2 linked regions of the Alligator mississippiensis genome follow. The protein of the gene in region 2 binds, or shares a complex with, the protein of the main gene of each other region. Links are inferred from orthologs where the notes say so. Each region holds a gene or a part of one and is shown on either strand. Other genes may lie near its edges. The genes, in order: EXOSC10 and DIS3L.

The links.
Region 1: DIS3L (region 2) and EXOSC10 share a complex: the UniProt entries of both Homo sapiens proteins name them as parts of the RNA exosome complex. The link is inferred for Alligator mississippiensis from reciprocal best matches to the Homo sapiens genes DIS3L and EXOSC10.

Annotation. Positions count from the first base shown.
Region 1 is NC_081836.1:11,947,790-11,954,939, forward strand, and holds the start of EXOSC10 (exosome component 10), read right to left. Parts: upstream 3,232-7,150; 5' UTR 3,011-3,231; coding exon 2,774-3,010; intron 1,203-2,773; coding exon 1,066-1,202; intron 575-1,065; coding exon 451-574; intron 1-450. Other genes in the region: serine/threonine-protein kinase mTOR, read right to left, coding at 5,547-5,562, 6,161-6,266, 6,938-7,018. UniProt on the Homo sapiens protein: Catalytic component of the RNA exosome complex which has 3'->5' exoribonuclease activity and participates in a multitude of cellular RNA processing and degradation events.
Region 2 is NC_081834.1:5,034,304-5,042,367, forward strand, and holds the start of DIS3L (DIS3-like exonuclease 1), read right to left. Parts: upstream 3,060-8,064; 5' UTR 2,989-3,059; coding exon 2,859-2,988; intron 1-2,858. UniProt on the Homo sapiens protein: Catalytic component of the RNA exosome complex which has 3'->5' exoribonuclease activity and participates in a multitude of cellular RNA processing and degradation events.

The sequences.
Region 1 (7,150 bases), on a different chromosome or scaffold from region 2:
ACCTTGGGCAAATCACTTCGTGTTTTTGTTTCCACTTCCCCTTCCAGCCTGTCTGCTGTGAATATTGGACTGAAAGCTCTTCCGGTCAGGGACTTTCTTTTACCACATGCAAGTACAGCACCAACACAAAGAGGTCCCCGTGTCAGTTGGAGCCTTTAGGTGTTACCCCAATACAAATACCCATTTTGCCCTTACTGTATAAGTTCCATCCTGTAGCCATGATCTGAATGATAGAAACAGACATCTGAGTAAAACAGTCCTCTGTTGGGCTGGAATGTTTTTTAACTAAAGATGGTGAAGGAATAATGCCAGGGCAAACAGCTAGTGACACTGTAAAAATGAAACAGGATTCAGATATCAGAGCAAGACTGTGACTAAAATTCTTGTAGAAAGCCTCCCCTTTGACTGCTGAACAGGGACCAGACAAAGCGACAAGGCAGGTTTACTCACCACTCGTTCAAGAATTGCATCGTTGGAGTCGACCAACAAATCAAATTTGTCTTCCAGCTCTGTCACTTTGCTGCGATCCTTGATGTGACTGCGACAGCCGTGGTACTGCATCACTCTGCTCATGCTGACAAGAGACCAGTGCACTGAACGCTACTTGCTAGATCACATTAGCAGCAGTTATATAAAACCAGAACATTTACTAAGATTCCTCCCAAGCATTGGCTTCTCTGCAGTTTGCAATATCAGATATACTACCTTCAGACACCTGAAACCCGAACATAAAATGAATGTTTACTCCAAGCATTGCTTGGCTATTAACTGCAATTAATTTTCACTGAGTCTGAGGAATTCAAAGCAAGCCATCTGTTTATATTTTTGTTTCTACCCTCTCTGACAGTTCCTCATCCAAATCCTCACAGGGAAATGGTGATGTTGCCATTAAATTGTAATATGCTGGAAAAACAGCTTAAATATTTTTTTAAGAAAGCAGTTAAAATACTTGCAATAAAATCCTCTCTCAAATTATTCTGGAACTCCCAAAGAAAAAGATTCTCTGTCTTTGCATCTGGATTTGAACCAACAGATCTCAGCGCTGGCACAAGTAAAACCCCTCACCAGTGAAGCAGCCTGTCTCCTTGCGTTTCACAGTAGGCTCGGAACCCAGGAAAGCTTCGGTAGAAGTCGTACTCGTCTCCCGGCTGAGGGAGCCCATTAGATGCCTTGGTAGCAGCCACCACTGTGCCGAGGGCATACTGTTAGAGACACAACATTAACATCATCCCACATTGTCCTTCCTTTCTTCCAGGACACCGTCAGATGAGCACTCAGTGCTCCTATACTTTGCACTGCATTACAACTTGAAGCTGAAGCAGGACTTTCAATACAGAAACTTGTGACACCCTGGTTTCGTGTAATCAAAAAAGAAACCTAAAACTAGGGGAGAGCATGGTGGAGCCAAAAGTCAAGTTTGGAATTAAACTGGCAAGAAATAAAAGATCAAAAAAGAGCTTATGAAGTCAACACAATCATTTTCTTCTTTTAATGCAGGGCTTCTCGACCTTATTGGACTTGAGGTATCCCTCGATATACTGGAGAAACCCCTTGGACAATGCCAGCTCTTTGTTTTCACTCGTTTTCTGATCGCAGAAAAATAACAGACCGATTCTTCTGCTGCAGAGAACTCGGAAAGACCAGAATAAGTCAAATTACTTTTAACCACTAGATTCCTATTTGAAATCTTTGGGTTTAGCTTGTGAATCGTGTTTACAGGCCATGGGGTTGATTAGGGCGGGTGGGATGTACTGGGTAGCTGCACCCTCCTTTGATTCCTGCTCCACCCAAAGTTTAAAACCAACCACCTACAGCAGCATTTCTACCGAGGCAGAGCTGAGGGAGTCGCTTGATTTCATGGCTTGTTCTCATCATCTACCTTCTCAACTTTTCCTTCCCCGAATGTTAACAACCCTTAACGGTCTTGAAGTCCCACCAATCCACGCTGCTCTCTCTCAGCTGTCCCTGGTAACGAAGCTCCAGTTCACAGCCCTGCAGACTGCCTTGAATTCATTTCCATGAAGTTATGTTTTATTTCAGTTCAGGCTTAAACTGAATAATCTGTCCCCGTCACATGGATAAAGCTTCTAGTTTCTTTTTCCCTGGAGAAAAAGGTCTATACCGACAACATTTGACAGAAGCAGCATGTTGGCGGCTGTGCTTCCCTGGCATCACCTGCGGCAGGTTAGAGCTAGGTCTGTCACGTCGGGGCTGGCGGCAGTCTTATAGCGTTAGATGACGGTTTGTATGGCATGGTTTGCACAGGGATGAACCTCCCTCAGGCAGGGGGTGTGACTCAATGACCCCCAAAAGTCCCTGCTCCTCCGTGCGTCTATGAGGAGTGCGCGTTGTGTTGTACGCACGGCCCCATGTGCACCCCATAACCACTGCCTGGGCCCCCCGACCACCTGGCAAGGACCCCGGGGCGCTCGAGATGGGAAGGGAGGTTGTAACAGACACATCAGGGCCAGGCTGTCTCAGTCTCCAGCAGGAGCGAAGCCGGTGCTGCCCGCGTGGGGGGGTCTGTGTTGCTCCGCCACGCGGCCCCGGAAAAAACTACACCACCCAACATGCACCGCTGCGCGCGGGCCCCGCCGGCCGCCGTACAGGAGGCACACGGCATGCTGGGAAGTGGAGCGTCGACGTGCCTCTCCAGGAAGCTTAAGTGACGGGAGACGCAGGAAGGGACTACGCCTCCCAGCATACCCCGCGCCCGGGGCCCCATGCGCTGCATCCTGGGAGAGGGGGGGCTCGGGGCTGCTCGCTCACGTACCTTGGCGAAGGAGTCGGCGTCCCGGAAACCAGGCAGCACCGCATCCCCGCCGCCTTCCGGCGGCTCCGCGGCCTCCCCGGCTGCGCCGCCGCTGCTCTTGGTCGTCATCTTGCTCTTTTTCGCTGCGCTGCCGCCGCCTCCACCCCCAGCGGTAGCGGCCATCTTGGACGTAGAGTCGCGCGGTGGTAGAGTGCTCTCGCGAGACCGGAGCCGCCATCCTGGCTGGCGCATGCGCATCTTGGGAGAGGAAGTCGCTGCTCTTGGTTCCTCCGGGCTTGCTAGGGCTAGACGCACAATGGGCGGGGCGAGCTCAGACCACGCCTCCCGCTCGTAGTTCCCGCGCTCCAGGGCGCAGCCTCCTGCGCCGCCCAGCGCAGGCCTGCTCGGCACAGCTCTCCTAGTCCGGCCTAGGAGCGCCTTCAGGGCTGCCTGCTCCCTGCAGTGCTCCAGCCCGTTGTTCCCGGGGTCTCAGAAAGCCCAGGATGAACGTGGTGCTGAGAACTAGGTGCAGGCTTCTCCCAGGACAATCGCTCTCCAATCTCACTTACAATCCTCAAAGGGGAGTTACAAAACACCTTTCCTAGATGAGCCAATGAACTTCATCAATTACTGGATATAAAAAATCATGGACTAAACATAGACACTGGATTTATGGCACATTACAACCTGCCTGCCATCCTATAAGCCCAGGTAACCTCTCTGCATTTTACCAGCTACAGCTTATCACCAGGTCAGCATCTTCCCCTTCCACTCCTACCTGCCTCACTCTCGTGGCCTCTGAGCCTTGCTGCCTGGCGTTTGCATTTTCACAGACCTGCATTTTACATATTGGTTTCTATTCCAGCCAGGAGACACCAGACTCCCCCTATGCCTGAAGGATGTTTGTGCCCAAAAGCTTGCAAAGCACACGTTTTCTGTTTAGTTGGTCTAATAAAAGATATCACTTTCCCCCCAAAAATTTGACTGCAGGATGAATGTAGTTAGATGACAGCATCTTTTGAGACATCCAAGGTCACTCATCTTCCAAGCTCACGTTGCACCGTGCGGGCTCTATGCTTGTTCAAAGACTTGAGTCACCAGCTTCATTTTGCCAGCAGGTGGAGACAACCATTCAAATCTTAAGCAATGTCACTCCTGGCCCAGTTTCTCATGTTAGGATTATTCCAAAGCGGCAACGGCAGAGAGAAAAATGAATCTAAACGACCAGGAACTTGCCATTTGTGTTATCAAGCTGTCACGCTGGAATTATTTTAAACTGACATCAAATGGAGTACCCCCATAAATTTCAAGAGCCTGTGTTATTTGCAAGGGGGTCAGACAAGGTGATCCTCACCAAACTATATCACTTTGATTTTGTGTCAGTAAAGAAGAAATTGCTACAGAGTCCAACACCTACACCTTTCGTTCCTTTGCAACCACATTCAACACAAAGATCACATGAGAGTTCTAGCTGTGTCCTGCAGAGACGATAATTTGTGTTTAGAGAAGAGGACCTAAAAATCACAACTAATGAAAGTCTACTTAAACACAGTCCAGTCAGGGAAATAATTACAATCAGCTGGATATAAACCAGAAGATTTCTAAACAGGTAAGCTTTGATGCACATGACTGATGTCCCTGAGTCTTGACTATTTTGTCTCCACTACTATTCAGAGCAAGGTAATTGCTAATTATGAGGACAAGCATACAAGAATCAAATACACAAGACACATTTTAGACGCACCTAATCCTCTATGAACAGTTTATGCCCTCCAGGGTATTCTAGTACGATGCTTTCTTGCCTCACCTTTATACTTCCTAAGTAATCCTTTGGTATAAATAAAAACTCCGTCAAAACTGTTTTTGTAGATTTTGAGTGTAATTTATTGGCACAAAAATATTCAAATACAACATGGCATCTAAACATGGCTACACTTTGTATCTTGTGCATTTTAATATTTGTTTTATTCATAAATTGTTACTTTTTTTCACCCTTACATTTTTCTCCATTTCCAAGCATGATCAGTTCTTCTCCCTTACTGCTTTTTATGCCAAGCAGTCAGTTTTTCTTAATTACTTCCCAATACTGTTCTATTGTCTGCTAGTGTGGGAAACTCCCAAGTGGTCTTTTGATTCTACCCTGCTTTCCTTTTGCCACAGGTCAACCCTTCTTAAGACACTATGACTGGATCTACCCCTATTACTCAATCTAGAATGAAATATGCTTGTTGAGTTACCACTGAAGTCTCAGCCAAACTTTATCCCTCATTGATTTCTGGGTGGGAGCAGTTTCAGAACACACGAGATAATGCAAGGTACAGAGAAAATTCTGTCTCTTGCTCTCCGGCACCCCAACTTGTTCCCAAACCCTAACAAGCCCTCGTGCATGAGTACGAGTTCACTGCAGCTGCAGCCAAAAGATTGACCAGGGCAATAATTCATTTGCAAATTATTTTAGGTTAGTTACACTGTAAGTTAAGTTCAAACCCGTATTTCATTATTTTCAATGGATCCCCAATTCCCAAAGACCAAACAAACCATATATTTATGGTCTAGTTGAGTCTTCACCGTTCTGGAAACCCAAATCAAGTCTTCTGTTTTGGACAATTCATGTTCTTTAACAGCAGCTATAAATTGGTTTAAACCAACTTTTAATATACAATAACTCTTTTCATTTACATTTCAAAATATTTGATAAAAGCTGGATTTCAGTCCAAGCTTTTCAGCTTGTAGAAGAATACATTTGGAGTGCAAAAGCCTCCAATAAAGGCTGTGGATACTTTAGAATCTTCTGTTACCAGAAAGGACACCTAAAGGAGACAACAGAAGTGATTTAAGAAGGGTGGTCTTCCCTACAGCTTCATAAAAGCAAAGACAAATGTTGAGAAGCACTGATTATACTGTCCAGAAACCTTTCTGTAATCAAGGAAAAACCCAGTATGATCCTAATGCTCATTCCCCATTATCAGACTAAAGGTCTAACATCCTTGAACACAACCAAAAGTGAAGGAACAACTAAGAGGATGGAGGCATACAGGTTCCATATTGACTACAAAGTGCACAATTTTCCAACCATACTCAGCAACTGGTATCTGCAGGATCGGAACATCTAATTTCACAAGTCTAAAACCTTCAATCTGATTGCGACTTAAATGTCCTTAATCGCTCTTCCATCTCTAACAGATTGCTTTCTTATAGGACAGGGCTTAAGGTATCCTTGCAAAACAGTCACAAAAAAGTTTGCTAAACTAGGCACAATATCTACTTGGCCATCTTCACACAATGGCCAATAAGACTAACGATATTTAACTTCCTTAATCCCCATTCAACATCCCCACAACAAGCATTTGTTCTGGAGAACTGAGAGGGGATTTTTTTTTTGCCAGGCTGGCATAACAACAAACTCACCATCCAATGTAGCACTGGCAGAGATTCTCATGGGAAGTAGCTTGTTTAATGAGCAGCTCTACTTGTGTGGCTACATCCAGAGTTTCATCATGAGAGAAGTCTCGACCTTTAAAATTAAAGGGAAACACATAAGAGAGAGACTGCATGGCAAATTACCTCGCTTGACTTTTGGGTGGTAGGTAGGGCAGCAATGTGAAGGTGAATTTTCTCTCCTCCTCTGATAATATTTATGGTGCAGAACTGTTTAAAGATGCAGAAAACTCAAAAGCCACAGTAAAATCTCTGGGGACACCAGTGTTTTCCACAATGCAGCAGCTGCTTCCACTCTACCCATTTTCCTCCTAATAGCAGGCAAAAGTAACTGTTTACCAGGTGGCTCAGCAAAAATCCCTAGAAGAAGGAAGCCTTCTCCCACTCGGTTGGGTGCGTCTTAAATAAAGAATCTCAATTTTGCAAGCTGCACAACTACTAGAGAAGAACCCACTGCTGAGAGTTATTTTCAGAGTCACCACCCAAAAGTGTCTAATCTCATCTAGTTTAGTTACAATTCTCTTTAAATTCTCCAAAAAAGATCAACTTTTTTCAGGCTGGTCCAGATGCACAGGGCTGCCGAGGAGGCAAAGCAGAAGTGTAGCTCTGTCCAATTAAGAAACTGGATAATTTGAAATGAAATTAAGACTAACACAAAACAGAAATACTAAAAGTGGTACTGGGCAGGCACACATCCATCTCCTGTTCGTATTTTTAAATGATTTTTAAAATAAAGCATATACCTACCTGTGAGTTTATCTCGAACCCTGTTAATGATCTGAATGGCCTTCTTATTTAGAGCCTCGGGTTTCACTAAACCATCCCCTACTAGAAGACAGAAGCAAAAAAAAGGTTTAGACTCAATTTCCACAATAATGACCAAAAAGTTACTCTCCCCTTTCTTCTTAATAGCTGACATAAGCCAGAAAACAAGGATAATGTTTCTGCTGAATTGAATAA
Region 2 (8,064 bases):
AGGTCTGATTTCATTATAACACTTAGCGTGCAGACAATAGATCATTTTCTCTGCTATTGTGGAAAAAAATTGAAAAAAAGATTTGACACAAAATCTCCTATGGATTTATGCAATGGGGCGTATTCTTTCCAGGAATTGCTCCCACAGATGTTGTTACCAGCCAATAACCCACTTGCTGCTGGCAGGCTTGCCTAGAGCCCTTTCCCCATATTAATAACATGCACATAAGCATACACATTTGGAAAAAAAACACTTTGCCAAAATGGGAAAGTTTTCAAATCTAATTCATCCTAAAGGAAGGTGTCACATGTATTCGGCTGGACTTAACCATCTAAAATGTTGGAAAAAACAGAGCAGAAATCAGAAAATGTACCCAAGCATGAATTGTTTTAATTTTATTGGCATTCCAAGTAACCTCAGCATAAGCAGCTTTTTCTTTGGGTCTCAGCTATGTTTTTCCTCTGTATCCATTTGTTCCTAATGCCATTATTAGCATTTAATCATTACACGCACAGCAGTCTAGGTGGATTATATTTATGCTATACATATCTTGACAAGTTAAGTGACTTTCATAGGTTTCCTAGGAACCAATTCAATGCAATGTGTCTTGTTAACAGTGATCCTTGTAAGTTATTTAGTCACTGAGGCCAGTCCTGCTTACAGTGACATGGCAACAACTACCGTTGAACTCGGTATTAAAACTGATGGCCGAAGAGATATAATAAAGCTAATCTTTCAGCAACAGATTGGAAGGCAAATTCTCTGAAAAGTGAAATGTCACTTCAAGGTTTATATAGGCTGTGCATGTTAAGCCATCCTTACCTAACATCCAGACCTAGATTACACTAACTTCTGAGTAGGCACAGGATGCCATTTAAAAATATCTGTATGCATGATTTATGCAGACAAGCTCTCCTAGTGCATGAAATATGTTTGCTCAGCACAGCATGTTGAGTCAGGAACAAAAACAAATGTCTGCCTTCCTCCTGAATTACCTAGAACAATTACATACAGGCACATACTGACATTGATCTATAGCACAATTTACGCTGAAGTCAGGAGGAAGGGAATCAGACATGAGAGAGGACAGCATTTGGTTTTGAGACTGTAATGTGACTCTTAATCTCTGGGGGTCCATAAGCAGTTGCTCATACATCTCTACAGCCACCAGGCTTCCCAGGGAATGCTAAGCATAACCTTGCCCAACATGTTAGGCAACAAATATGCATCTACTGAGCCTCCATCTCATTAGCTGGCCAAAAATATAAAAAAGAGGTTTGTTCCGAAATGTAGTGGATCTAGGCAAACAATTTAGAAAACACTTTTTATAGGCAGGGTGAGAAACTCAACTGAAAAATCATTATTCTTTTTGTCCTGAACCTGTTGTATCTGCTATGTTAATCACCTAGTATTGTTAATATGTTGCTGCAAAGAAATTAGTGGATTAACCCCCACCCCACACACAAAAACACTAAAAAAAGGTCAACTGAAGATAATCTATTGTGTACATCATAGCACTGTGCTATACAAAACAACATCAAACTAGAAATCACAGGAGCTGGCAGTCTTCCCACATCTAAGATTGTCAGGTATAATACGGATAATTAAATTTAATTACTGAACAAAAACTGCTGCTCCTGCAGATTCAAAAAAGTTTCAATGTTAACCACTCAGCCACGTTACAAGTATACTTAATGGATATCTATAGGATTTAACTCGTGATACAATCTTGCCAAAATTTATATTTAAAAAAAAAAAAATCCTTTTAAACAGGGTGTAGTATGTAGTGGCTTGCCACATAACACTCAGAAAGTCCTTTAACAACGTATTGTGGTCCCTATATGCACACAAGCCATTTACAGGAAAGCCTCGCAACAACCGCCTTCCCTTTCCAAGTCTCTCCTTTTCCTGTTTTTTTCTTTTTAAACCCTGCCCTCGGTTATTTGTGCGCGTTTCTGGTTTGGAAGCAGGGTTGTTGGCTGTCGCCGTGTCAGTCTAAGGACGTGGGCAGACAAGGGTCTTTGGGTAGGTGCAATATAAAGAGGTGGAAAAATGTTCTTTGCAAGCTTTCCAGCACAAAGGCCCTTCTTCAGGCCTCGGAGGCTCTGCAGGCGTTACGCGCGGCACACGACACCAGCAGAGCCTGTTTCGGAAGGGCATTTTGTTACGCACTCGCTTCTCTTGGCCCTCCGAACATTTCCTGCTGCTGCGTTTGTGTTGTTTCACAGCACCTCCCAAAACGCTTCACCTGCGACAGCGCGGCCTGTTCTGCTGGACAGGCTGGAGGCCCCTCCGAAACCGCCCGCTCTTCATTTTCACTTTTTTTTTTACTTGACTACAGAAAAATAACCGGTTTTTTTCCCCGTGGCCAAAACGCTTCGTCTATGGCAGCGGGGCCTGACCCTTTCAGACTTCCGCTGGACGGGCTGGGACCTCGCCGAAACCGCCCGCTCTTCATTTTCACCTTTTGTTGGACTACAGGAAAATAACCGTTTTTTCCGCCGTTGTTATATAACAACTTTGACGGACCACGGGGGCAGGTTTCCCTTTGGTGTCGGTGGTGGTGCTGCCGGCGGTGTTGGCGATCACGGACTGCCCACAGACGCTGCCAGCTGTGTCACGATCGCGGACCACCCGCGGACGCTGCCAGTGTCGTGATCCTGGACCACCCGCATAGGCTGCCGGCACCTTTCCCCCCCACACTCGGGGTCCACCTGCACGTGTGTGCACCCCTCCGCGTCGCCAACGCGCTTCACGCGTGCTGCCAACGCCACGGGGCGGTGGCGCGGCACCCGTCACCACAGACCACCCCGAGGCCTAACGGTGCCCCGGCCCGGCCCCGCGCGCCGCCCCCTCACCGCGGGCGCAGGCGGCCCGGCACAGGGCGCTGCGGCAGGGCACGTCGGGGCGCAGGTAGTGCTCCCGCACGACGCGCACCGCCCGGCCCGGCGGCCCCCGCAGCTGCACCACCTTCTCAGCGCGCTGCATGGCGCCGGCTCCACCCGCTGCCCGGCGTGGGGGGGGCTGACATGGCGGCCGGGGCGGGCCGGGCCAGGCCCGGGGCGGAGCTGCGGCTCCGGCGCCGGGACTCGCCGCCTCGGGACAGCGGCGCTGGTATTTTTCCTACGGAGAAACAAACAACAAAACAACCACAAAGAAGTGGAAGCGAGGGGCGAGTTGTGCCCGGCTCAAAATGGCGGCGCCGCGTCCTGTCAGCGAGGGGAGGCTGCTATTGCCCTGCGGGCCTGCGGTTGTGCATCCGCGGGTCCTTCTTTCCAACACCATCTGGACCCACTAAAAGCGTGAATGGCACCTCCTGAAGAGGGAGGATGTCGTTAGCTAGGCGTATAGACGAATTCCTGTGGAAAATAATGTCCGGCCTCAAGTACGGAGCCCTACATGAGGGACGGATGCAGACGGGATGATGGGGCAAAGACTTCTCCGCCTGCCCCACGCTTCCCGTCCCAAAGAGTCCTGCCCAGCCCGAAGCACGGCATGGAGGATGGTCCGGTTGTCCTCTGTGGATACGAGACCCGCCGTCTCGATGTCCTCAGTTTGTCTCTTGAAGAGAAAAATGAAATGCAGGCTGTCCTCGCCTGACAATGTTTTGCACTTAAATGGACGCCCGGTTTCAACTTTACGATGTTTCATCTGATGCAACAAGTTGGCTGCGTCTCCCTGGAGAACACCTGTCCACGCTTCCTGGGATGCTTTCTTTAAGAAAGCAGACGAAGAAAGCCAGAAAACCCTGCAGCCGGGACGTCTGAGAAGACTCCAGCCAGGAGTCCTTCAAAAAGTCCAGCCGAGAGCCCTTCAAAACGTCACCTCAAAGAAGTCCTTCCAAATCAATGTGATCGCTATTTACAATATAAATACATTCATGTAGCTATATTACTCATCTATAGTTGATCAAGTACAAAAATCTGGGGTATTTTTGGTGAAAACAGGGTATCGGGCCTTGGTTCAGGAACCAACCCCCCATTTATAACATTGTTTCTTATGAGAAGATTGGTTCCGAGTTGCAACATTTCGATGTTAAGACACGGTTTACAGGAACCAATTGTGTTGCAAGTCCGAGGACTGCCTGTACGGTGTACAGAAAGCAAGCCACGGAGACGTGGTGTGGGGAGACATGGTGTGGGGTGGCCCAAAAAGGAGGCCACCCCACATGGTGAAGAGAAAACTAGAGGACATACAGGCGTCGAGTTTCGTGTCAATAGCAGAAAACAGAAATGTCCTCTACGACGGCCATGAATGCCACGTGCCCCCGGAGGCTGGGGGGGCAAGGTGAGCTCGATGGCAATGTTGACGACACTTTTTCATATAGACATTCAGGCTGGAAGGGACCCCGGAGGGTCATCACGTCCAGCCCCCATAGATTTCATAGACATTCGATAGATTCATAGACATTTTTGCAGGGGGTGCACTGCCAATCTCAGGGGATGCACATGCACCCCTTACGCATCGCCAATGATGATGGCCACCCTACGGTTTGGCCGTGCCAGGCTGCCAACTGACAGCCCCCAGGCTAAGTATAACAGCTTGAATAAGGACCTGGCGCTTGGGCTGAGATTATGATTGGAAATCCTTTTTTGGGCCACCCCACTCCCTGTTTCTGTGGCTCCGGGGGACTCTTCTGGACATCTGTGGCCAGGGTCTTGCCCAGCCCAAAGCACAGTTTGTGCATGCGCCGCTGCCGACTAGCAGTGCCCCATAGCCATGAGGCTGAAGTTGGTTACTCATTAAATTCTCTCTCTTTAGGATGTGTAATTCATTAACAATAAGCTTGTATTGGGTACAGATTCGCTTTAAAAAAGGAACTGGGAATAAGGAATGGGGAATAAGCAACCAACTTCAGCCTCATCCTTTGGGGTGCCTTGAGATCCTTTCAAGCGTGCCATGGGGCACCACACTGTTGGGTGTGCAAACATGACTCGCAAGATAAACGCAGAGATTTCATGTAGGACTCCATAGTGTTAAAAGCATTCTGCCCTGCTGCGGTCTTTCCGAGCTCTTTGCAACAGAAGAATCACTCTAGTATTTTTCTGTAGAGAAAAAAAAATGAAAATGAAGGGTTGGCATTTTCCAAGGGGTGCCTTAAGTCAAAAAAAGGGTCTTAAGGAAATACGAAGGATACCAACGGGTGAGTTGTCCCCTACTCCAAATGGCAGTCATCTCCTGCTTCTGTCAGGGAGGGAAGCAGAGGAGATGGCCACTGTTTTCCTAGAAGCTATGCCCAGGGTGGCGGCTGGTTCTTGCTTTCCCATGAGAGTGAGGCCATGCCTGCAAGGAAAATGATGGCCACTCTGTTTACAGAGCGCTCTTGGGACACAAGGACTGTGAAGCGCATGGAGCCCCAGTGAAAGGGGTCAACGGAAGAAGAGGGGGAGCAGAGCTGGGGCCAGGGTGATGCGGGGAAAAGAAGAAGACAGCGAGGGTCAGAGCAGATTTTGGAACAGGATGGAAACTGCAGGGAGAGTGGAAAGGACTGGACTCCTTGGGGTATGATGAAAAAGTAGAGTAGATGGGGAAGATACTTTTTCCTACTGTGTGTTTTAAGTCTAAGGATTGAGTCATTTACACTCATGCTTTGGAGGCAAGTGGCCTTCCCCTGGAACTTAAATCACAAAGCAAACCCCCACCATCAATTACAGAGAAATAGCATGATGTTGGGAACAAGGGGGAGCAGGGGGGTTGTCTCATGGAGTGCACCGGGTTGGCAATATGGTGCAGAGAACATAAATATCAATAGAGCCGCTTTTCCTAAACTGCAGGTTGCCAACCCCCAAAGGAGCTGTGCGGGGGAAGAGGTGTCAGATAGCGTAATTGATAGAGATTTAAAGGAGGAAAATTTTCCATATTTTTACAATAAAGAGAAGCCCAGCTCCCTAATTATATGATCCCTCTCTTCCTTTCTAGAAAATGAGCACGTATTATTGTCACCCTATGGGGGCACGTGGATCGAGTGCTTCTTATCAGATGGACAGTCATACTGAAAGAAGAGCGGGGTGATACAAATGCCATGAGCTGGAATTCTTTATTTCCCAAAGTACAACTCTGCTACAAATGTTAACAACAAACCCAGCTATGCTTGCTTTCTGTACAGTGTATTTTATTAGCAGTGGAAAGTGCTAATCTCATAATCAACACTGGAGAGAAATGCAAATTAATGATGAATTGCAATTCAGAGTAGAATTTAAAAAAATGTGCATTTATTGTCCTTCAGTGTCCAAGTTTCCCTCCTGATCGAATGCAGCTCAGTTCATTCATTTTTTCATCTTCCTCTATAACTAGGGGTCTACTTGCAGTGAGACAAAGCAATTTTTGTGGCTTGATCATAGCATGAAGAGCTGATTTCACAGACATCTTCCAGTGGCTCCACCCCTCACCAGTGATTGGCAGAGAGGTAGATACTGTATAATTTAATAGCCGATTCTGTGGAAGGTAAATTATATCATAGAATTTATCATATTTTTATAAATCTAAATATTACATTTAAATACACATTTAAATATATTGTAAATATAAATTTTACATACAATATAAATTGTAACTTATATCATCATGATTTATTATATGTAGCGTTCTACAAAAAGTTTAGAATACTAATTAATGTTACCTTACTAGAAACAGCTTCACTTCACTGACTGGCGCCTTCACTTCATCTATCTCACTAGCAAATAGTAACTCAATCATGATCCATGGCTGCAGTGATTGTTGCATTGTCGTTGTATTGTGGTAAGCATTGGGACATTCTAAAACAGCGTATTACATGAATAATATGCCGGGGGGGGGTGTTAAGTTTAATTTGTGGGAAATCACGGCCAACGCAGTATTTCCTGGCGATTGTGGACAATGTCATTTTTTTCAGTTTCCACAAAAACTGCCAAACCACATATTAAGTAGATCCCTATCTATAACCTTGTTATAGTGAAAATGCTCAGGGAAAGTTACAAATATTTGGACAGTTAGATAGGAAAAAGTATGGGAATCCCAGTGATAAACCATTTGTAGACACGTATAAGATAGGTCAAAGTCAGGCACAGGGACAGAAACCATTAAGTTGGTGTTAATATACTGATGATTCTCTGGTTATTATTATTCAGCACTAATTGTTGATCCCTGAATTATTAAGAGTAATATAGTAGTTTACCTGGTTAATGAGCTATAAATTAAGCTTAACAAAATCCCTAACCTAAGAACTCTTACATATGCCTCTGCAGCAACATGCATAATGAATTCTTCAGGTCAGATCAATGTAAATGGTCACAAGGATCAAAGAAAAATCTCCAGAATCCTGTCCCTCTGCTATCTGATTTTCAGGCGAGGGATTTAACAGTAATACCTAGCTCTTAGAGCTCTTTTCTTCAGCAGATTTCAAAGTACTTTACACAGGAGGTCAGCATTATTACACATAACACATTTTGTAGATGGGGAAACCACGGCCCTGAGAGGTTAAGTGAATTACCCAAAATGAACCAGGACTAATGGTAGGGCCAGAAATAGAATCCAGGTGTTTTGGGTTCCGGTCCAGTTCTCTCTCTGCAAGAGGACAGTTCTAATACCATCACTCTTTGGGGCCTCTTACACTACATGTAAAGAACTGTTAATCCTTTTTCATGACCTCATACACATCACAGTCTCAGCTGTGCTTACAGTCCAGTGCAGGACATCCTGTGGCTGTCCTTATAGGGAGAGAAGCTAGGGATGCCGTGAGATACAAGGAAGGCATCTCAGTGCTTCCCTGTGGTTTATAGGAGAAAAATATTACAAAATTAAGTAATTTCATAAACATAGATTGGGCTACCTTCCTGGATACACCCACCAGGGAGGTATTTGCCCCAGCCCTAGAATCCTTAGTTCTTCCCTGAAGCAATGTTTTCACAGTAACTGTACAAAACTACAGTCCAGCTTCAGCAACTGAAATCTTACATCCTGCTCCTTGGAATTTCTCCAGAACTTCTCTTCATCCTTCTTGCCCATGTATTCCCTGACCTTTTGATGTCCTCATCCTTTCAGCATGAGAATGTTTCTTATTGCTTCTACTACACACTGAAAAGAGAG